Drosophila melanogaster: one gene and its partners. Changing the gene in region 1 together with any one later gene gives a genetic interaction. Each region holds a gene or a part of one and is shown in the gene's direction. Other genes may lie near its edges.

Region 1 (5,527 bases):
ATCGTGATTATGAGGACCGCTGGCCGTCTCGCTTGCTCCACGGTCTGCGATGCCATTTATTCATGCTCATTAAGTGCTGGAGCGATTGTTGTTTGCCCATGGGCCCGGGATGGTCTTCGCATCTGTATCTGGCTTGTTCACGGTGTGTTGTGTGTTCATTCACAAATGAGCGCCTTAAGCAGCTCCGCCCCACAGATACAGATACAGATACAGATGCGGAGGCCCAAAGACACATTCGAAACTCACACAGATACACACAGCGACGAACGTAATGAGTTCGGTGCGCACACAAAGAAGGCAGAAATTTATGTGGCAGCCACATAGACTCTCGCACACACACTCGAATGCCCGATGGCCCAGCATCCAAGACTCGTATATTCCATACCCCCTTCCATTTCAGCTTCTTCATCTTTAATTTGGTTCCGTGTATCTTGTTGATGGCGTTTTGCCTTCTCTTATATCTTTTGCCGCCACGACCAGCTATTGTATTTCTCCTCTTTCGATTCGTTTTATTTTTTTTCTTCGATTCATTTCGTTTTTTGTCGAAATTATTATGCTATGCCTTGCATTCCAGAGCGTTACCAAAAAAAAAAAAAATGCTATGCCCCCCCATGGAATCCGTTACATGAGCAGGTGCACCTTGGCCCTTGGTTCTACCCCGTTGGAAAGTGACAATTTCTTGGGCACACATTGACGGGCGTATTCCACAATTCGCGCTTGCCAAGTGACAGTGCAAATAGACCTGGTGCAACCGCAAAAAAATAAATAAGGTCTGGAAAAAGAGCCAAAACAAAAGATTAGCGCTTGCCACAGATCCAAGTTCTGAAAGTGCGAAAAAGCTAAAAAGTTAAATTGGAGATTTCCCAGTTGTGGGGAATTTTATATTAGCCAAAGTCAACAGAGATAAAACTGGAAATTTATTGATTTCCAGAGTGCGGCATCAATCCGCAACTTAGTTATTTGCTGTGCATAAATATAAGGTACCTAATTGCAAATTGTATTTGCCAAAATCGTTATCGGTTTTTGCAATATATATAGACATATTTGCGATTATTGACATGGCGTTGAACGGAACCTCTGGCGGAGAAGGAAATTGTTAAATTGACCAGTAATTTGTAGGTCCTAAGGCGATATCTAATCGGAACATGACCACTACCTGAGGGGCATATGAATGACTCACTGGGTGACATAAGCTCGGAGCCTTCGATGATCATAAAGTACTTTAGTTTTAAGCACTTTTTCCGTTCCTTGAAGACTGGCAAACGGAAGCAGCATTGAACCCATATGTACTCCACATATCATACCATATACAATATACATATATATGTATGTATATATATAAGGCTGCCCAGGAGTCACACAATACACAAAAAACCGGAACATTATTAATTTACAAGCAATAAAGCGAAACGAACAACAAAACGAAGAAAGGCAACGGAAAAAAGTGAACAATGGCCTGCGATGGAGGAGTTGCAGGGCCAGAAGCGGCTAACAAGCCACAAGACTCGAGTCGAGTCGAGTCCGAGTAGTGCAAGTGTTAAGAGAAATTGCAGTTGCAGTCGAGGATGCTGCAGCTCTTCTGCGCCAGCAACGCACACTATCACACATCCAATTGGCAACAGGCACACACTTTCATCCATGGCCATAATGGACCGCAGCACACTATGCCAATGCCATCCAACATCTGTTGCCAACATTGCTTGTACATAAGAGCCGAAGACTCAGGCACTAACACATGCAAACCAGTCTTGTGAGTATGCTGCATCATCTGGTTGTCCCGCTTCCACTTCCCTTGCGCATAAGGCAGCATAAAAATGAACACCACAGCCGATCGAACGTCGAGTGGCATACGCATACAATCACAACGCGGAATGAACTCGAGGCGATAGTGTGTGTGTGCGTGTGTGTTTGTGTGAGCTAAAAGGCCTAGGGTTCTTGAAAGCACCCTCGTCGTACTCGTACTTATACTCGCATTCGTATTCGCTGCCGTACTCGTACTCGCACTCGAACACTCTGCGCGCACGATACTCCGCTCGGAAATGTCATTTGTCAATCACAGTGCGAGCGCAACGGTTGTCCGAACCGAGAGCTAACTGCCAGTTCAGCGGAGAACAGTTAAGACCGTAGTTAAGTCAGTTAGGACCTGCGATTTCGCCGACTCAAGTATTTCGATTTAGCCAGTTTAAATCCAAATAATACCATAAATCTGAATAACAAACGTGTCGCCAAATAAGCGTGTCTGTGTGCCAAAAGTGAAGTGCTAAATAACCAAAAAAATAAATAAAAAAAATTAAAGGAGATACAAAATCCAATCAAGAGAAACAGCAAACAACGAGTCTTAGATAAATCATGGATAACCACAGCTCAGTGCCTTGGGCCAGTGCCGCCAGTGTCACCTGTCTCTCCCTGGATGCCAAATGCCACAGTTCCAGTTCCAGTTCCAGCTCCAAATCCGCAGCGAGCTCCATCTCCGCAATCCCGCAAGAAGAAACGCAAACGATGCGCCACATTGCGCATACGCAGCGTTGCCTCAGCAGGCTGACCTCTCTGGTGGCCCTGCTGCTGATCGTCTTGCCGATGGTCTTTAGCCCGGCTCACAGCTGCGGTCCTGGCCGAGGATTGGGTCGTCATAGGGCGCGCAACCTGTATCCGCTGGTCCTCAAGCAGACAATTCCCAATCTATCCGAGTACACGAACAGCGCCTCCGGACCTCTGGAGGGTGTGATCCGTCGGGACTCGCCCAAATTCAAGGACCTCGTGCCCAACTACAACAGGGACATCCTTTTCCGCGACGAGGAAGGCACCGGAGCGGATCGCTTGATGAGCAAGGTAAGGAAAACCCTCAAACACCGTAAGCTAGTAACAAAATTTGTAATACATCATTGGGAAAGTTTCGCTTATCGGAATCATTGTGACAAAGTGACTTAAAAATTATTTGTAAAAACCGAAATATTGACTTATTAATCACGATTAATCAGAAATTACTTAACATTTAGTATTGTTAGCAACACAAATGAAGTGAAAACCCAGTCTTACGCCAAATAAATGACTAATTCTAGGAAAAAATGTGAGATAACTCTACCAAACGGAACTTGTAATGCTTTAATAGTACACTTAATATTTGGTCTAGGTATTATTTTGTGATAAAAGTAAGCCTACTTTGATATAGGAACACAATGAAATGCCTGTTAAATCTGAGGTATGGAGGTCAAACACACCATTTAGATGAGATTTTATTGCTGATATTGTTCCGAATTCGTCTTCTATATCAGACAGCTGGGTTCCGATTTGCGGCTAGGCTAATTCCGTGCTTATTGCGCACTGCACTCACATTTTGCCACCCGTCGTGGTCCGTAAATTCAATTGTCAAATTAGCGATCGCTTATCGCTCGCGCTGTTTTATAGCCCGTATCTAGCGATCGCCCGATGGCACGAGATTGTGCCACTCGGTTCCCATTGATAAACGCTACGTGGCGGAAAAGTGCCCAATCATTGATCGAGCATTGGCTATTTCACCAACTTTATGGTGGCGATGGCTGCCATAAAACTGGGCTGAAATATAGTATTAGTTTTGAGCATTGGCCATTTATATGATTAATTATGCATCTTATCGCCGCACTGCACTTGTTTCGCAAGTGCAAAAAAACAGGAAGCCCGATACTCGACGGCTGAACGGTAGATAGCGCCTGAATTCCATCGAACTAAGCCATAAAGCTGCAAAGCGTCCCGAAATCCAAACAAACCGAGCGAACGCGTTCAACAACCTCGAGCCCAATCGATCCCCGGGTCATCATTGCAAATACATAGTTTACTCAACATTGTGTGTACGCTTCGCAAATGCGTTTTCGATTTCGCGCTGAACAACAAACAGGGTATCGAATGCGGGAGATTACAAGTCCCGGTATTTATCAGGTTTTACTCAGCCAAAACCACCGCCCACCGCCCACCGCCCACCCTGTCCGCGCCCCAAAAGTGGAGGCACGCGAGCATTTGCCGCTTATCACCGGCGATTGTCTGATAAGCGGACTGCAGCCAAGTAGTTCGTTTGCCAATACACGGTTACTATCCCCCCAGATAGTCACCCTATATTTGCCAACATGTGTAGCTACATGCTGGCACTGAAAGAAATTGGGTTCGCTTGGCATAATACTATATGCTTGCCACTTTATGGTTTATGCTAAAAGAGGTATATGATGGTTTTTATGTGTGAAATAAAATGTGAAAATTAGTTTAGGTGCAAGTTATACGTTATACGTTATACGTTGCTAGTTGCGCTATATCGGTGCCAGAACAAAATGTGTGCTAAGATACCAGCTAAGGCGAAGAACAGCAGTATCTTATCGCCATAAAAAAAAAGGGGCGGGGGTAGTGAAAGTGGAGTGGGTGGCGGTGGGATGACCACCCAGTTGGTGGGGGAGCGGTGGTTGAGTTTCAAAGTGCGAAACAGCTAAAACAAGTGTTCAATTCAAGCACCATGCGACAACATTTCCAATTAGCCAGCAGTTAGTGGGGTGGTTGCGTTGCGGCCAGAAGTCGGCTTAGCACAGTCAAGACCCCCTAAGAGGGCCGACATTGAAGTTGCTGATATATATAATCGGCACGCTTCCCACCAGCTTATCTTCGTGTTACTTTAATGAAATTTTAAGTGTCGATGTGTAAAAATAGCCTTGTTATTGATTAGCGCCATAAACGAGCTATTGGGCTTTTATGGCGGACTTCCAGTTTCCTTGGACGATTTGGTGCTATTGAACAACAAACTAATAATCAGAATTGTGGGAAGACAGATTACGCCTGCCAACCGACTAATATAGTTGATTTAAAGGGTTTAGTATCGCCCACACAAGTGTTACAATGACTTTCGATTTGTTGATTTATTAGTCAGTGGTTAGTGTTTCGCAAAAACGACTTAGATCTTTAAAAATCAGATTTTACTGTACTGTAAAGTTAAATCGTATTATCGAACCAGTTGTTCGCCTGCTAGAGTTTCACTTGAAAACCAATTCCAAATTGCATTTGGCAACTGCCACGCGCCCATCGGGGGATTCTAAATGGTTGCAGCCATTTCAGATGTTACCTTGAATTTGATATGCAATCAAAAGGTATCGCAGCCTTTCCAGAAACTGGCGAACAATTAACAGTTGCTCGCACGGCAGCACAAACGCAGTGACACACCGAAGGCCAAGGTCCTTCGGGCGATTGACTAAACGGCCAAGGACACTCGGCGAGCATAAAAATCCTGTTGTTCACGGGACAAATATTTACAACGGCAACTGTTCCGCTACCGAAGTCGTATACATATATCCAGTGACATTGAAATCTTTTGCCATTCCTGCAAGGAGCTGCAAAGAGTACCGTGGAGTGCCAGCAGAGCGCAACTAAAACGCATTTTATGTGGATTTGGATCTGGCTATCAGACCGAATGACTTACTGGCCGCTGTGCGTGAATTTCAGCTGCTAAACAATTCGTTGTGGCCATTTAAAAGGCTCGAAAGTCGGACTGCTAGCTGCGTGGCCCTGACTGTGGGTG
Region 2 (5,449 bases), 8.3 Mb from region 1:
TTGGATTCCAGGACTTCAGAGGTGAGTCTTACGGTAAAGGGATAATCATTCGGCAGGGTGGGAAGCAACGATCTCTCCGCCAAGGCTCCGTGGCCCATTTCCCGGCGACCCACTGGACCAATCCGACCCACTTCACCCGTGGCATAGGGCGGGAACTCATAGTGCAGCATAAAGTTCTTGGCCTTCAGGCCACCGCTATCTAAAGCAGCCAACGAGTCAAGTTTCATTGCGCTTTCCTGCGAGTCCAAGCTAACCGTGCAGAAGACCTGCGTCTGACCGCGCTGGAATAGGGCGGATCCGTGGAGAGGCTTGTACATGTCCACCTGGCAGGAGATGTTCCTCAGCTGGTCGTAATCTCGTCCATCGCAACGCAGACCCCGCTCAAAGATCAGTTCGCGAAAAATGGTTCTACTGGTCTGGTTGAACTGCTCGGTAATAAGCGACGGTTCGGTATCCGGAAACGAACTCCACACCTTGTCAATAACGTTGGAGCGCACCTCGTTAACCGCATTGTCACGAGACATCTTGTCGTGCGTCGAATCCTGGAAGATCTCTCTCAGCCGCATTTCGCACATGCTACGAACGGCTTTCCCCAGTTCGGGATCTACTTCGGCAGCCACTTCCACTTCGCGCTTCTGTCGACCATAGGCCTTCTGCAGTCGCTCGATCTCGTGGATAATGAATTGGGCCTCACGAGTCCCTTGTTTGATAGCCTTTAGAAGGTCCTGCTGAAGAACCACATTCCCCTTGCCCTCCAACATAACGACGAGGTTTTGTTTGGTGGCGGAGACTACCAAATCCAGTTGCGAAGTCTGCAGCTCCCGGCGCGTGGGGTTGATCAGCACCTCGCCGTCGCAGAGGCCAACGCTTTGTAGGATTAAAAGAGTTATAAGCGGTTACCAGTTAGATTCGTTCGTGAGTACTCACCGCACAGCTCCAATGGGTCCATTCCAGGGAATGTCACTTAGAGATAGCGCCATGGAAGCGGCATTGATTGCAAGCACATCCGGACTGTGCACCGCGTCCATAGCCAACATGTTGCACACCAGCTGTGTCTCCGTGCGATAATCTTTGTGGAAGAGCGGGCGTAGCGAACGGTCGATAAGGCGGGCGGACAGGATCTCTTTTTCCGAGGGGCCCAGTTCGCGGCGCATAAAGTTCATGGGTATTCTGCCAGAGGCGGCGTTTTTCAGTCGGTAGTCAACCACCAGAGGCATGAATCCCTGGCCGGGATTTGGCTTCGCCTTGGCCACCGCGGTGACCATGACGGCGGTATCGCCCATTTGGCACACAGCTGTTCCATTCGCAAATCTCGCCAGGCGGCCGGAACTGAAGGTCATGTTACGTCTGCGGAGGATTCAAGACTTTGCTATTGGAACTCGGAGTGGAGGCCACGAACTCACCCATTGCTGAAGTTGACTTCCACGGAGGGCGCTTCTCCGTTGGAACTGCTTTGGATTCCTCTCCTTCCTCCTGGGCAGGACAAACTTAGGCATTTGAGGCGATAGTTGAGCAGCTTCAGCGATTTCCGTGTGAAAATCATGGCCATTACCTAAAAGTGCCGGGTGATTCCGGCTGAGGCGACAGTTCTGTACGCTGTATTTTCATGGTTATTTAAGAAATAATTAGTGGTCAAAATCTTACAATAAAAGCCCTGTACGTTTCTTGAGACTTGGAAGTTAGACTTAGAGCGCCTCAACTATTTGTATTGTTTAATTCAGTTATCTCAAAACTAGAATGCCCATTTAAAACAAAGTAGAGTGTGCAACATGTGTGCGTTCGGCGTTGCCACCTGGCAAGGGTAACAACAAATGAATTATATAGACAAACTATTACACGGATTATGTCTTAGGAATAATGTAGTAAATATTAATACAGCGTATTTTAAAAAAATTAATTTCGTTTCCAATAAGATATTTAGAAGGGTTCCCAGAAAATGAACTATTAGCTTGTGTCCCCGATAATGTCAAATTTGCAGTGCTGCCAACTCTTAGCAATGTTAGTTACAGCATGCAAGAAACAGCATTTAAATTCCTTTTCAGAAACGAAGAATTAAGACGGTATGTTCTGAAAGGTCCTAAAACGACCAACAGAATGACGCGACGATGTCCAAATCGCCAGATCTAAGTAATTCAAGCTAGCTAGAAAATAGCTGAGGCATCAGCACTACACAGTCCGCCAAAATTAGTCCGTCTTTTTACGCGTTTAGAGTTTTTTACCGCGAGTCGAAGACGTCTTTCACTAACTCAACGACGGTCTTACAGAAGACTCCAATATTTTTCGAGCAGGCAATTCGCGGATCCATCGTTAATTTTGGGCACTTGCAGAAAGCCCAGTTGCGAACGTCGTCGTGTGTCGTCTTAGAAAAGCCACTCCTCCAACCGGAAAACCGCAAGAGCGTCGAGCCCTTGTTTTGCGAGCCTTTTCGAAAAAAGCTGGGAATTTCACGCCGTATTTTTCGTATCTTTTCCGTCAACGAAACGCCGCGTGTGTCGTAGTGTGCGTGTGTGTGTTCTGTGTGCCCGCCCATCTGTGCATGTGTGAGAGCGCGCCTGTGTGTGTGAATTTTGGTGAGAGCCGCAACAACAACCGAAAAGAAAACCAAAATCGACAAATGCGGTCAAATTGAAAAGAAAAACAAAAAATCAAAGAGTATTCTTGCGCAAAGCCAAAAGGCAAAGTCAAAAAAGAGCGCAAAGCCAAAAAAACGCAGATTTCCCAACGAAAAGGCCGGAAAATTGCCCACTAGGCGTGTCGCTGCTTCTTCTTGTTCTTTCAAATTGTTTATGCTGCAATTGCAGTGGTGTGCGAAAGGAGTGGTAGAGAGAGAGAGAAGGAAAAGCGTCTTATCAACGCCCGCTTTCTTATCAGAACCCACACATTTGTTGCGAAAATTCCAACCAGCCGAAACTCACAGTGAAGCTTTAAATAGCACATCAAACAAACAGGTAAGTCTCATTAATCAGCTTGAAATCACCTTATTTTCTACTGCTCCTCGGTGGTCACAACTCACTGGCTGTTCCCCTCCTTTGCACTTAAGCACTTAACGGTAACTGTAAATTACACACACGTTGGCCTTGTCTCTCCTGGCGATTAATTGCATTAATGCCGCAGGACTCGCGCCATCCCTGTCACCCCACGCCAATCGATTAAAAAGTGAAAGCAATCGGGAAATGCTTATCAGTAGGTCCTCCTTCTTTGCTTTTTAAATGCATAAATACCCATGCACAGATGCACACATGCAAGCAATCAGCCCAACAATGCACTATATGAATATTTATAGCTCATTATTTATTGTCTCGCTGTTCCCGTCCATCATTTGACCCGCTAAAGAGGGCAGGTTGGTAAATAAATGAAAAGTTATCGAGATAATCGGTGGAATTGTTGGATCATTAATAATTTGTTTATTTTTTAGTTAACCTCTGACAATTTATCAATGACTTAGTAGACATAAGTCAGCTTGTTATTTTTGCATTTACCAAGATATCCGGAAGTAACATCTATTGCTCACACAAAAATATATTGGGCATTCACAATAGTGATGACTCACTGCCATGCGTGTTCACTGATTATTTTGACTTCTAAAATCATACATTTTATATTTACGTAAAGTTTTCAGAGCTGATATAAACATTAATTCAAGATATTTATTTATTAATCACTTGCACACTACTTCCAAAATACTGTACGTTTTATGCAAAATGTCGGAATAACATCAGAGATGTGATGCACAGGAAAATTCCCCATAATTCATGAAACCTATTTCCAAAATTAACAGAAAACTATTTGCGGTACTCGAACTCAAAATCTGTATTTTTATAGCACGAACATTGGAAAAGAACGCAAACCAATTAGTGAAACCATTTTGAAATCACCATAAATCAGCGTGATTGCCTGGCAATAAATTCCCGTTTCCATTTGCAGCTGACAAATGCGAGTCGTTAAAAATAGTTTTTCCCCAAAAGCGTAACTTTCCCCCGCTTTTCAAGGGCGACCCTCGCAATGTCCCGATGTACTTTCCTTATCGCTTCTGCATTTCGAGTTCTTTTTTCTGTGGTACGTCATCGGCAGCCGGGTGTCTCTGATTGTTTGAGAATCGCCTCGCCGGCTGCATAATTAAGACGAGCTGGACGTTTAGCTGATAAACGTTTCCACTTTTCATCGGCGGATGGGAGTCAATGTGCCATTCACAGAAGACCTCTACTCTGGTACACAGATGGTGATTGTTAAAGTCCAAGATCTCTGATGTGTGACCCCATGGGGTGCCCTTTTCAACTGTCAGGTCGCAACTATTGTTTCCATGTTTCGAGGGCTTGCGTCACAGTTTATCGACTCGAGTTGCGAGCTGCGAGCTGTGAGTCCCGAGAACCCGCAACCCATTCCGACAGGATGACGTAGGCAATTGGCAGAAACATGTGTATCCTGGGTATCCTGGGCCCCGTGCAGACAACAATAAACCATCAGCGCCAACCCCATGGGCAAATAAAACCCAATCGAATATTATTATCAATGAGGGCAGGACCCAAACAACGAACGCCAGTTCGAGCGCGAAGGAGGGTTGGCCACATGCTGCTCTTCCCTTGGCAGGATATCATTGCCAGCACTTGGACCCAGCCCACTGAACTTCCCAATTCCAATTCCAATCCCGACCACGCCCACATGCCATCATCGTCGCCTTCTGCGCTAATTTGGCGCGACTTTGACACTTGTTAGCCAATATGTTTTTGGCTCGTGTTAATGGCCCAACGGGAATTGATATTAATTGCGCCGCACGCCCCTCACGCCGCCCGAACTGGGCGTGGTCGTCGGTCAATATTGTTGGTCTCTAGAAGAAAAAAAAAAACAACAGAAAACGAAAAACACAAATGGCCCGAAAATCAGCTTAAATCAATTTTTTGTGGTCGCCGCCTTTTGTTCACTTGCTGGTTTTTGGTCCAAAATCGGCTTACCAACTTCGGTGCCTGTTTTTCTTGTGACTTTGGGCTTTACAAAGAGGCTCTAAGGTTCCCTTCTCGTTCAATCTAATTAATCCTGCCTTCCTTGATTGAGAATATGGGATTTGCCTTGCCCTTAAGAAAACCAGATTTCCTCACCCTTTGGCAGCCAATGAAAACTGAAAGCGCTCCCAATGTTTCCATTTTTCCAGGCCCTGTGTTTTCCTTTCATGTGCCCTAATAAAACTAAATTCAATTAGAACTTGCAGTTCGAGTTCCTTGTGCGTGTGGGAAAAGTTGGAGTGAAATGTGAGAAAAGTTTTGCGGAATATGTCGGAAAAGTGAAAGAGGGATGGGTAGGATCAGTGGCAATGGGCGGATGGCACATGGAGGGCTCATTAGTTGCCAAACGAAATCTCCGGAGGGCATGCAAATTTAATCGAATCACTTCGAGTGAAAAGCCACTTAATGATGGTTCCTTTCCTTTTCATTTCTAATAGATGAAAAGGCATCTG
Region 3 (7,657 bases), on another chromosome or scaffold:
GCAGCTCAAAGTGCTGGTACAGCACAGCCTTGTCAAAAATATATGGCCAATTGTCCTTAATGGCCGTTATATCTGGGATCTTTTCGCTGTTATTAAAAAAGGAGCGCTGCAACGGAAAGCACTCTTTCATATATTCGATTATGACGGACTGTTCCAGTGGGGAACTGCCTCGGTAGCTGGAGATTAGTAACTCCTTTTTGTGCTCCAGATCCCTGTTAAGAGCCAGCGATTTTGCATCACCATTGGAAGCACCACCTCCGAATTTTCGTTTTTTATTAGGGATGTGGATCTCAAAGGTTCCCGAGCTGCCGCGTTTCTGGGGTTTGTTTAGGGCATTGTTACGGTTGATCATCTTGGATATGAGCGATTGCGGAGTGGTGGCTATAAACTGTCCCTCGCGGTCTTTTTCGAGTAAGGAGTCGGGGTACTTTTCAGCCGCCTGTTGGGCGACCTGCCGGAAAATCCGTATGGGAATGTGGGCGGATATTTCACGGAGAGCCTCCACCAAAACATTCGCAAGTGTATTCAACCGCTTGCCCAAACTCCCCTTTCCCTTTAGTAGTTTCATTATGTCCCCAGGCACCTTGCTCCAGGGTATCGAGAACTCCTTGAATAGAGCAGAACTCTTTGCACTTGATGGCGTTACGCTGGACAGTGACATGGTTTCGTCATTAGAGACCGTCGAATCGTTCGGGTTCGACACAATACTGTTGTTGGCATAGAAGCTGGGATCCACCGAGCTGCCGGCGCGTTCGGATCGGTTGAGGGGCGATGGCGGAGGAAGCACCACATACTCCTCCGACTCGGCGAGGAGCATCAACAGAATCTTCTCCTTGGCAGCGAACAAGAGCACGTCGTCCTCGCAGATCTCGCAGCCGTTGCTCTCCAGGACAATTGTGTTGCCGCACAGGCCGTATTTGTGAGCTACCGAATACAAATATATTATTGATATAAATTAAATAAAATATGTACAATTATTTAATTTCTATCCTAGATAAATATATCACCCATTGATCAAATTTATATTTTTAAATGCAGAAATGCTCTAAGCTTAAACCCAATAGATTCTTATTAAAGACTGTCTACTGGTTAATAACTTCCAACTGGGCAACGTTCATTCGGAATACTGGATGAATAGATACCCAATTCGTCGGACGTTCCTTACCTTTGTCGATTACATCCTTTCGAGTGGGCAACGACATGAAGGTCTTCTTGATCTTGCGATCGGCGCTGCATATGGTAATCAATACTTTGTCAGCCAGCTCGGTCTTCGGCTTGCCCTCGTCGTCGTCCTTCTGGCTAGCATCAGTGGAATGTGTCGGCTCTACGGCTAAAAGGTAAACGTTAACCAGGAAACTAGACTAGCTTCGAGCAAGTTTGCTAACCGGGGGCTTTCTCACCGCAGCTCTCTGGCTTTTTCGCTCCTCCTGTTTGTACACCATTTTCGATTGTTGTTGCCTTTGCGAGTGCGACCGGCGCTTGGTTTGCATTTTGATTCGGACTGATCGGCGCCTGCTGGGTGCTATGATCGCCGCCGGAACTGGCGGGCGGTGCGGGGGCAACGTCCATGGCTTCTATTTGCGTTTGCGCGACTCCAACCAAGCCCTGTTATCCGTGTTTTTGGACCGTGCCGTGAAATAATATTGCAGAATAGGGATGTAAAAACTACATCGATGCTTGGTGCGCTACTATCGCGGTGTTATCGATACTCCGCACCCAGTGTGACCGTCGAGCGCATGGCATAAATAAATAAGCCAGCGGCCAGCATTGCCATATAGTCAAAATGTTGCGGGGAACACCTTTTTCGTTTGCTGATGCATTTCTACATATGATCATATTTCTTATTTTATGTTGATGTTATCTTATGTTACGATCGAACAAAATAAATCCGATTTGTTTGCATATCATTCGACTTGTTGCAGCTATGACCGATAATAACCGATGCCGACCGATAACATGCAAATCTCGCTGACCGATAACATGGGTATATTTAAACTGGCCCTGAATGGTCGCACATTTGTTGCTTCAGCTTCACGTTGAGTCGCGTTTATTTTTGTTTTCCTCCTTGGTTCTTGTTTTTTTTTTCTCTTTTTTAAAAACACTGCAATCCTTCAAAGGGAACAATTAAACCAGGATATCCCGAGTCCAACGAAAGCGCCTTCACGATGCACTGACGAACCGCTGAGCAAGAAACGGGCATTCAGCCCATTAAAATTCACACAAGGCAGCTATTTAATGATTTTTATAAGCGGATGCAGTACTTAAACTTTCCGCGCATGCCAAACATTATGTGAGTGACTCGCCTCTGGCAAATGGTGTGGGCAATTAAAATAACTTGGTTATTTACAAACCGCAGGATGTTCCTGGAGGTTGCGATCTTATGCCTGTGGGTGGTCGCAGACGCATCGGCCAGTTCGGCCAAGTTCGGCAGCACAACGCCCGCAAGTGCGCAGCAGTCGGATGTGGAACTGGAGCCCATCAATGGGACTCTCAATTACCGACTGTACGCCAAGAAGGGCAGGGACGACAAACCCTGGTTTGATGGCCTAGACAGCAGGCACATCCAGTGTGTCCGACGTGCCCGTTGCTACCCCACCTCGAACGCAACCAACACCTGTTTCGGCTCAAAATTGCCCTATGAGCTGAGCAGCCTAGATCTCACCGACTTCCACACCGAAAAGGAGCTGAACGATAAGCTGAACGACTACTATGCCCTGAAGCACGTGCCCAAATGTTGGGCAGCTATACAGGTGAGGAATCTTAATAACATCTAATGTACCTAATGATTTCAAAAGGTGGGGCCGAGTCTGTATGAAAATACAGATTGTCGCATTATTTTCTGATAAGGAGGTGCATTAGAAACAAGTTAAGCGCACAACTGTGATTACTTAATTACGCTTTGTGTTCAAGCAGTGAAAGTAATATGTGAATTGCTTTATCTTGGGAAGATTCAGATATATATACATATTCAGTTGTGGCTCAAGGTTTTCTGTAGATATTATAGTATTTCAAATCCATTTCTTCAATATTCCGGATTAGCTCAACACACCCATTTTTACATGTTTATAGCCCTTTTTGTGCGCCGTCTTTAAGCCGAAGTGTGAAAAAATCAACGGCGAGGACATGGTCTACCTGCCATCTTACGAGATGTGCCGAATTACCATGGAACCCTGTCGCATTTTGTACAACACGACGTTTTTCCCAAAATTCCTTCGCTGCAACGAAACACTCTTTCCGACGAAATGCACAAACGGAGCACGAGGAATGAAATTCAACGGAACTGGCCAGTGTTTAAGTCCTTTGGTTCCGACAGATACGTCAGCCAGCTATTATCCTGGCATCGAGGGCTGCGGCGTGCGATGCAAGGATCCACTCTATACCGATGATGAGCATCGGCAGATCCACAAACTGATCGGATGGGCTGGCAGCATATGTCTTCTGTCTAACCTTTTCGTGGTGTCCACCTTCTTCATCGACTGGAAGAATGCCAACAAGTATCCGGCAGTAATTGTGTTCTACATAAATCTTTGCTTTCTAATTGCTTGCGTCGGGTAAGTTTTGAGCACTATTTTGCATTTGTATTCTTAATCAACCACGTATTTACTATGCAGCTGGTTGCTTCAGTTTACTTCTGGCTCGCGAGAGGACATAGTATGTCGTAAGGATGGAACACTTCGCCACTCAGAGCCTACAGCCGGTGAAAATCTTTCTTGCATAGTGATCTTTGTGCTGGTCTATTATTTTCTCACCGCTGGAATGGTTTGGTTTGTGTTCCTCACCTACGCCTGGCATTGGAGGGCCATGGGCCACGTCCAAGATCGGATAGATAAGAAAGGTTCCTACTTTCACCTCGTGGCGTGGTCACTACCCCTTGTGCTTACCATTACCACGATGGCTTTCAGTGAGGTGGATGGAAATAGTATTGTGGGCATCTGCTTCGTAGGCTATATCAATCATTCTATGAGGGCAGGACTACTTCTTGGTCCGCTCTGCGGGGTCATCCTCATTGGTGGATACTTCATCACCCGCGGCATGGTGATGCTTTTTGGACTGAAACACTTCGCTAATGACATTAAATCAACTTCGGCGAGCAACAAAATCCATTTGATCATCATGCGCATGGGAGTCTGTGCTCTGCTCACTTTAGTTTTCATACTAGTGGCCATTGCGTGCCACGTTACGGAGTTTAGGCATGCAGACGAATGGGCCCAGAGCTTCAGACAGTTTATAATGTAAGTGTAAATACTCGTTTATAACTTTTTCCATACGCCTCAACTAGATAATTCTTTTGTTTAGCTGCAAAATTTCTTCAGTTTTTGAAGAAAAGAGTTCCTGTCGAATTGAAAACCGACCTAGTGTTGGCGTTCTTCAATTGCATTTGCTGTGTCTATTTAGCTCTGGAATCGTAATGTCCACCTGGTGCTGGACACCTTCTTCAATTGAGACTTGGAAGCGTTATATAAGGAAGTATGTTTTACCATCCTACCAAAAGTTGCATTAAAGTTATCTGTACTATCGATTTTATAACCTTTGCAGAAAGTGTGGCAAAGAGGTGGTCGAAGAAGTGAAAATGCCGAAGCACAAGGTCATTGCCCAGACATGGGCCAAGCGCAAGGATTTCGAGGACAAGGGCAGGCTCTCCATAACGCTCTACAACACCCACACAGATCCCGTGGGGCTCAACTTCGATGTGAACGATCTGAACTCTTCTGAGACGAATGACATCTCATCAACTTGGGCTGCATACCTCCCGCAGTGCGTAAAACGTCGCATGGCTTTGACGGGAGCAGCGACAGGTAACTCGTCAAGCCATGGACCGCGAAAAAATTCATTGGATTCCGAGATAAGTGTGAGTGTTCGACATGTTTCCGTTGAATCCCGCAGAAATTCGGTGGACTCGCAGGTATCAGTGAAAATAGCTGAAATGAAGACCAAAGTGGCGTCCAGATCAAGGGGAAAACACGGAGGCTCTTCCAGCAACAGAAGAACCCAAAGGAGAAGGGATTATATAGCAGCTGCCACTGGAAAAAGCAGTAGGAGAAGGGAAAGCAGTACTTCAGTGGAGTCGCAGGTCATCGCGCTCAAGAAAACGACCTATCCCAATGCTAGTCACAAAGTGGGCGTGTTTGCTCATCACAGCTCCAAGAAACAACACAATTACACCAGCTCCATGAAGCGAAGGACTGCTAATGCCGGATTGGATCCCTCTATTCTTAATGAATTCCTGCAGAAAAATGGCGATTTTATATTCCCATTCCTCCAAAATCAAGATATGAGCTCTAGTTCGGAGGAGGATAATTCCAGAGCATCCCAAAAGATTCAGGATCTTAACGTGGTTGTAAAGCAGCAGGAAATAAGTGAGGATGATCACGACGGAATAAAGATTGAAGAACTGCCAAATAGCAAACAGGTGGCATTGGAGAACTTTCTTAAAAACATAAAAAAATCTAATGAATCCAATTCTAACCGACATTCCCGAAATTCCGCAAGAAGTCAGTCAAAAAAGTCCCAAAAGAGACATCTCAAGAACCCTGCTGCTGATCTAGATTTCAGGAAGGACTGTGTAAAGTATCGGTCTAATGACTCACTTAGCTGCTCCTCTGAAGAGCTGGATGTGGCTTTGGACGTAGGAAGCCTTCTTAACAGCTCTTTTTCTGGAATATCCATGGGCAAACCACATAGTAGAAACAGCAAAACCAGCTGCGATGTGGGCATACAGGCTAATCCTTTCGAGCTAGTTCCCAGTTACGGAGAAGACGAACTGCAGCAGGCCATGCGACTCCTAAACGCAGCCAGCAGACAAAGAACTGAAGCAGCCAATGAGGATTTCGGAGGAACGGAGCTGCAGGGCTTGTTGGGTCATTCCCATCGGCATCAAAGGGAGCCCACGTTTATGAGCGAGTCGGACAAACTCAAAATGTTATTGCTGCCTTCAAAATAGCAAGACTAAATAAGCAATTGATGCATTTACTTAAGGTTCAAAAACTCTTACAATATTGTAGTTTTTGTTCTAAGAAATCAAATTGTTAGCGCTGAAAATAATCGTACAATCTTATCTATTTTACGAAATCGTAATATTGTTATGTTCACTGTTCAACGATTTATAAGAATATATCGCTTCACTAGAATTGGAAACCCAAATGATATTTAAAACAAACAAATACGAAATTGTAGTACACAAGCCAGAGCAGTTTACATGCGATGAACATTTAGATTCTTCTTAATCGATTACTGGAACAGACTGAGCGAAACTAGAACTACGAATTACGAATACTCATAGTCATTAGGCTGCAACTTTATTTTACAGATTCATCACCCCATCTAGCTTGTAAGCATTCGAATCTCTGTGTACGTTTGTGAATGACTGTTTCCTTAATCCTGGTACTCACGCCAAAGTAAATGCCAAAGAGGATAATAATTTATTTTCATTATTTTTCTTTGCCGTGGGTACAGGACTTTAGATTGTAGATTATAGATTTAAGTACGATATAAATAAGCCTCTTGGGCACACAAATCGTACCTCAGAAAGTGCCTTCAAGTTTACAAAATTATACATAATAATTTGTGTAACTAATAAACGATTTTAAATCCTCGAGTCCTAGCCTTGCTTTAATTTCTGTTGATTTAGGAGCTTAAACTCCGGACCCCAAACGACGTTGTTGGCGAACTCCCCGAGCAGATAGCAAACCAGGTTGAACCCCACAAGTAGTGCCAAGAACACGTAGCGCAGGTATGCGGGCAGCACTTCCAGAATGGGATACACCCACTCGCCACTGAAGTAGCGAACAATGTGCAGCCAGATGATGTAAAGCAGGATGAAGGAGACGTTGCCCGTGATGCCTGCCAATCGACTCGGATAGCGGCGGAAGCAGGTAAACAGGTCCATAATGGCCAAAAGGGCCACATTCGTGTGTACCACGTGATTCAACCAGCTGCAAATATTGAGAAACACAGGTAAATCAAAACTCGCCTCGCCTGATGAACAGAAAGTTTAGACAGGCTCGAAACAAAAGAGACTCCAGCAGACTAACATTGTGCATTGTACGCAAGTTAAACCGGCGGAAAAACATAAACACTTGCCTGGGGAAAATCGCATCCAGCGCTGAGGGAAAGATGAGCTCACGGTCCCACACGTAGATGACCCAAAACGAGAGGCAGACATTGTGGGCGACAGGAAAGGCAAAGGCGGCGAACACATAGTCCCTCACCGATCGCAACATGGATTTTGAATCCCCGGAGACATTGTTATCGCCGAAGAGATCGTTCAGCAGAGCCAATGAGTGGTAGATGGCCTGTAGAATGACGTCCAAGAAGGTAAGGTACTTGAACTTGCCGCCCCACCGCGCCTTCAGTTCATCCTCGTCTAGCAAATCCGTGGGCCAATGCACCCGGAAGTAGTGAAAGTATATCCCATACGAAAACTGCGCTGCCGCCAGGAGATGGACCAGGAATCTCAGGTATTTGAAGGCACCGCTCGTATAGGCATCGTTGCAAGTGTTCAACTGGGCTTTAGTGGCCTCGACAGCTTCCTTGGCGGCGTTGAACTCGCGCACCTGCTTCTTGCTCTTGCCCATTTCCTCCAGAAAAGGTGCAAAGGGCACCGCACGCTGAGCAAAACAAAACAAATAAAGCTAGCCAACAGCTGATTAGGGCGCAA
Region 4 (5,640 bases), on another chromosome or scaffold:
GCAACATGCAACATCCATAGTCCAGAAGCAGTTCAAGTTTGCGCCAAGGAATTCCTTGCCGCTGAAATAATTAAGCATTGCAACATTGTTTATTGTTGCTGTTGTTGCTCCTGCTGCTGCTGCTGCTGCTGGGTGTTGCAGGCTCGTTTAACAAGGCAGCCAAGTTCTCAACAAGTGCCTCCTCCTGTTCTACAAGTTTTTGCCCCTCCACTCCGATTTTTTTCATTTTTTGCGCCTGTTGCTGCTGCTGCTGGTGCCACTCTAAGGAATTTCCATTTTATTTACATTTAGAATGTGCCGAACGGACTCGTCGCATGTAAAGCGGGCCAAATCGAAAGCTATTAGACCTATTAGCATATCGGGCTGGAACATGGCAAATTTAGTGGCAACATTGTTGCCTCCGCGATAAACGCACTAAAAATCAAGTCTTCACCTTTATTACCGCATCGAAGTGCCAGCGTTATGGCAATTCGAAAAAGAATAGGAAGCGATCGTTACTTATAGAAAATATAGATAAATAAATGTGCAAAACGCCAATCGATTGGCGTACATTTCATGGCGTTTACCTGATTGTTGTGGCCAGCCCACAGTTAACTTAATTGCCACTTCCCAAGCGCTTTATTTACGGAAATACTGACGGCTAAGCGACTATTTTACACGCAGAGAAATGAAGTGCAATTTAGCTAATCAGGTAATAGGCAGGCATTTTTACAAAGTGCGTACTTGTTTCCCATAATCTTTCGTTATGTTGTAAGGATGTTATTCCTTACTTTACAACATTTTCATTACATAATGGAATTGTAATTGATTTGAATATCTATATTTCTCTGGGTGCATCGACTGTGTGAAAGTGTTGTCAATGCTGCCGCTTGGCCATAGCCTACAATCGCGATTGGCTGATCGAGTTGGAAAGGAAAATAGCAAGAAATCATAATAACAACAACTAAAATTTTCCATAACCTTAAAAAATAGAAAAAAAATGAGGCAGCTATTTATAAAATGCGCAATCTGCGAGATGCGTGCGGCAATCTGTCCGTCGGTCCGCCGATGCCGCCAGCTGTGTGCCAAGATGCCGCTGGCCCCCCGAAGTCCCCTCTGTGGAGCCCCCGTTGGATCCCCCCTTGGAGCCCCCCGCCGCACTGCGCTGTGTTGTCTGCGTTTATTGATTTATTAGAAAATTCCAATGAACAAGTTTTAATACACGACACACGGCGAACGATGAAGTCGATGTTGTCAGCGTGCTTGTTGTGCTTTTTCTGCTCCTTGGCTGCTTGTTTTGTTGCACTTGTGTTCCTGAGGCAAGCACAATATACGGGAAGAAAGGCTGTGGGAAAGAGACAGAACAGCCGCTGGTAAAAGTAACAAGTGCAATATTTTAATTACATCAGCGGCAAGAACAACAACCAGATCAGCGGCATCAATTGAGTTTGCTGCATGGATTTTGGGCAGCTAGCGTTGCCAGATGGGCACACGAGGCGTATGATTGATATGGTGAGTAAGGCTTGGGGAATCATAGTATCAAGGCCTAAATAACAAATAAAACATTTTGAAGGACAAACAAAATTTTTAAAAATATTAAATAGATCGATGAGTCAAACGGAGCTCATGTGTGTGTTATCTGCAGAGCCTGACTTTTGTGCTTCGATTTCATTAAACTCTCACTTTGGCATATCTCAAAACGATCTAGCTCCTATAACTCGAACAAGCCGAACAATCCGGCAACGCCGATCGACTCGAAAGATTGTCTGCTCGGGACTCTAAGCATTTTGCAATCAATTTAGATTTGCATTAGCAGCGCTGCAGTCTCGAGAAGTCCGCGACTTAGTCCGAGATTTAGAGCCAAAAATAAACCGAACCAGTTGCGGCAGCGCCGAAAAGTCAAATGTGTAACAGCTCTGTGGCTTTGGCTCGAAGAGAGACTTGAAGAAAGTCAAGATATCGCAGCTGAGACAGAAGACAGAAGACTGAACACTAAAGACTGAGGACCGAAGACTCTGTGTTGACTGTAGACTGTGGACCGGAGACTGTGGACTGAAGACGGCGACTGAGAGAGCTGAAATATTGTAATTGTGAGTCTGGCTTGTTTGTTATTGTTGCCTTAGCGGTTGCTTGTTGTTTTTTTGGCTTGATTAATAATTAATCGCACTCGCACACACACACACACACACACATACTGCCTGTTTTAATTACTCAACTTAAATGGCGCTTTGAGCGACTTAAGCAACTTGCCATCGTGGTCGGCAGTGTGTGTGCGATTGACTCTCACTACTACGAGCTCAAAACTAACTAACTAGCTTGTGTTGCTGTTGCTGCTTGTGTTGCTGTTGCTGCTGTGCTGTGCTTTGCTTTGATGTTGCTGTTGCTGCTGCTCGGCTCTGCTTCTGCTTTTGCTTTTGCTGCTCCGTCTCCGGATCGCTTTTGCCTGCCTGCCTGTTTGCCTTGCCTCGGCCGCTTTGGACGCTCATTCAGTTTTTTGCGCTCAACGCTCGTTGTACGGAACCGAAAAACGCGTTCGTTCGTCCACAGAGTGTCGCCAAATCGAGGCGAAAGATCGCTGGTTACAACCGAATATACAGCCTCTAATCACTTTTTTTCTGCTCTGTAATCGTTCGCGGTTTCTGCGGCCATAAAATAAAGTAAATCCGAGTTAAACGCTGATAGTCGCGCCTGAAGAACCACAGAAAAAACAGAAAATATCTCCCGTCGTTTCTCGTTCTCGTTTCCGCGATCGCTCGTCAGCCAGCCAAAGCCTCTCCGATTTTTGATACCGATTCGGTATCAGATAATATATTCGTAACCATCGCCATTCTTGCGAGTGTGCCAGTGTGAGTGAGTGATGTGTCTGTGTGCCAAATCCAAATCGAAAATAGCCAAAGTCTGAGCTTGGCCACCATCGTCAGCAGCAAACATGTGAAGTGCCAGTGATTTCCATAAGCCAAAATCGAAGTCGAAGTCGAATCGAATCGAATCGAAGCCACAGCGAGATAGATAGGTCGAAAGTATTTGAGTGGATATCCGAGTCGAACCAGTGTATAATGTATGCGACGTTCGCGAACTGCCAGAATTGGTTGTTGTTGCAGTTGCAGCCAAAGGATTTGTGGATTTTGGAGCGTAACTGAGCGGCGTGCAGCAGGTGCACCAGGTAAGCCAAGCCGAGAGTGTTAGCAAATAATGCGCATACGCCATGGTGGCTGCGTGTCCAATTCGAGATCAATCGAATCAATTGAACGGCTGTTAAACAGCTGACTGGGAAAACTGGAACTGGGTGCAATGCGTGAGTCACATACACATATACATATGAATACAATGCATATAGACTGGCTGATTACTTATGTATATAAATGTGAAAGAAATAAATACATGTAACTCAGAAGTCAGTGGATTATTTCTGAAACAATAGCAATTGCAGTATATTATGTTCATTTTCTTCAGAGACTTTAGCACTGTTTAGATTTCTAATGATAAACTTTGCAACCATTTCACTTTTATGCATTTACATTTATGAAGACACCTAAAAAATCTATATTACTATGAGGAAATCTAGTTTGCTTTAATAAGTTTGCCAATAGATAAGTCCCTTCCGCCAACTTGATATCACTGCATAAAGTTTCGACAGATTTACGCCAGTATCCGGGGAAAAAGTGAAATTCTATCTCTGGACCCCGGACATTATCAGCAGAGACATGTGGAGATCGGGTGTCACTTGCATATTCATGGGGGCCAAGTGATGAACTGAATTAACGGCATTCCACACCAGTCACAATTAGCGGCTGACACTGACATTGGCCATGGTAAAAAACCCTTTGACCATATGCCATATACTCGTTAATTTATGACGCCATTTGGCTAATTGAATAATTATATGTGACTGGCTGGGCGTGGCTGGGCAGGGCTTGCTTCGCTTAGCTTTGCTTTGGTTTGGTTTGATCGATCACGATTGCATAAGCCATCCCACATGGGATCGGAATCAGCATCGAAATCTGAATCTAAATCTTAATCGGTATCTATATCGATTTATTCGATTTGCCTTGCTAATGCGACTGGGGGCACTAAATCAGTGTCAAAGTTCACCCCACTAGGCTCAATTAGTTTATTAACTGCGATTTGCATTTGCATTCGCAGGGCGCAGCAAGCCCGTTGGTTAGGTGGGAAATTGATAGCTTCGAAATGTGCAAAGGTACAGAAATAAAGCCCGATAACAAAACTAAGCAACCGCAGCAGCAGCAGCAGCATCAGCTACATAGAAGCAACACATCAGCAAGACAGAGCAGCAATATAATGAGATATAGCTACACAGATATAGCAACAGCTGACGATGAGACCATGAAGGTCTACCACTTTCGGAAATTCGACGAAAATGAAATAAAAATCGTGAGCACGCAATGAAGCAGCCAAGTTGAAGTTGGCTTCCACTTCCATGCCATCCCATCACCATCTCCATCTCAATCTTCATCTTGGCCTGGCAAATCACGTTGCTGATAACAACAACTGAGCAATGCGGCAATAATTTGCTGCCCATGCCCGCTTCGCCCCGCTCTCGGCCAAGTTAAGTGGCTACTGGTCATCAGCAGGCAGCAACAACTGGCTTAGGCCAACATTTTTATCAAAAGTGGTGGCATTAGCAACCGCATCCCCCCCGTTGGCCGCCGAAAGAAACTGGTCAGTCTCTGGAGGCTTGAGACTCCCAATAGTTTCACTTATTTTACACGCATTTCTTAACGATAAATAAATTCCACAAGCAGATGCGGCCAGCAACAGCGGCAACAACAACTTGGCCCGGTCAGCAACAACTTTTGCTATCACGTTTCCATGCAAACAACACACAGCCACAAAAATATTTCCATTGGTATTCGCTTGTACTTGAATTGCCCCACGAAAGATTGTGGGGGGGGGGAGGGTGTTCGAACAAGAGGCTGCAGCAGGTGGCAACTGCAACTGCAACTAATGCTTCAGGTGCTTTTGGCCCGGACTTTGCACCTCAGTCTACCGTTTGGGCCATTCCGATGCCAGATTTCCGCCTGATGTGGCGCCTCAAGGCAGCCGAGAACGATATCCGATATCGCTGGCTGCTGCTCGATGGGTTTATGGTTTATGGGATACACCTTGACTGGAAAACCAATTGGATTGCACAAGAAGTGTGATTTGATAGGTGCAAACTTAAATTATAATTATGTGTTATTATATCATAATCATAGCAAGAAACGCTAGCTAACAATTCCAATATGTATCAATATTCTGACTATGTCAACTATCTAATAATATTAGTTTACATTTTTATTTAAAAGTCGAGCGAGCCCAGCTCAATCACCTGCTAAACTTCTATGCTAAACGAAGATGAATGAACTTAGCTTCAAGGTGGCCAAACGAAACGACACGATTTGGCAACGATCTTCTGTCTTCTGTCTGTCAAATCGAGAACTGATCAATTTTGCTTTTTATTTTATAAATTCTCTCTCGAAAATATATTGTATAAGGTCATCTTCTTCGAGAACCCGACCATACTGGTTTTTTTTTCGGTCCAGAAGATGCCAAGCGCCGTAGTTTCACTCGGCGTTCAACGCGGCGTATGCCTAATATGCGAACTTGAGTTACTTTTCCAATTCACTTTTGCCCCGGCCTTTCTCGCCGCCCCGGCGATTC

The links.
Region 2: of hh (region 1) and Gprk2, changing one enhances a phenotype caused by changing the other (phenotypic enhancement), as found in Drosophila melanogaster (one study listed by BioGRID).
Region 3: of hh (region 1) and smo, changing one enhances a phenotype caused by changing the other (phenotypic enhancement), as found in Drosophila melanogaster (2 studies listed by BioGRID).
Region 4: of hh (region 1) and dpp, changing one suppresses a phenotype caused by changing the other (phenotypic suppression), as found in Drosophila melanogaster (2 studies listed by BioGRID).

Annotation. Positions count from the first base shown.
Region 1 is NT_033777.3:23,138,344-23,143,870, reverse strand, and holds the start of hh (hedgehog), read left to right. Parts: upstream 1-1,964; 5' UTR 1,965-2,349; coding exon 2,350-2,829; intron 2,830-5,527.
Region 2 is NT_033777.3:31,403,009-31,408,457, forward strand, and holds the start of Gprk2 (G protein-coupled receptor kinase 2), read left to right. Parts: upstream 1-2,236; 5' UTR 2,237-2,948; intron 2,949-5,449. Other genes in the region: PNPase (polynucleotide phosphorylase), read right to left, coding at 1-867, 928-1,347, 1,404-1,549. UniProt on the Drosophila melanogaster protein: Specifically phosphorylates the activated forms of G protein-coupled receptors. Required during oogenesis and embryogenesis; component of a signaling pathway that functions during egg chamber maturation.
Region 3 is NT_033779.5:275,574-283,230, forward strand, and holds smo (smoothened), read left to right. Parts: upstream 1-2,008; 5' UTR 2,009-2,252; coding exon 2,253-2,290; exon of another isoform or gene 2,291-2,356; coding exon 2,357-2,750; intron 2,751-3,069; coding exon 3,070-3,551; intron 3,552-3,611; coding exon 3,612-4,232; intron 4,233-4,296; coding exon 4,297-4,467; intron 4,468-4,536; coding exon 4,537-5,941; 3' UTR 5,942-6,594; downstream 6,595-7,657. Other genes in the region: CG17078 (uncharacterized protein), read right to left, coding at 1-924, 1,166-1,330, 1,386-1,569; CG11601 (uncharacterized protein), read right to left, coding at 6,599-6,932, 7,081-7,574. UniProt on the Drosophila melanogaster protein: Segment polarity protein required for correct patterning of every segment. G protein-coupled receptor which associates with the patched protein (ptc) to transduce the hedgehog (hh) signal through the activation of an inhibitory G-protein.
Region 4 is NT_033779.5:2,425,909-2,431,548, forward strand, and holds the start of dpp (decapentaplegic), read left to right. Parts: upstream 1-2,463; 5' UTR 2,464-3,142; intron 3,143-5,640. UniProt on the Drosophila melanogaster protein: Required during oogenesis for eggshell patterning and dorsal/ventral patterning of the embryo.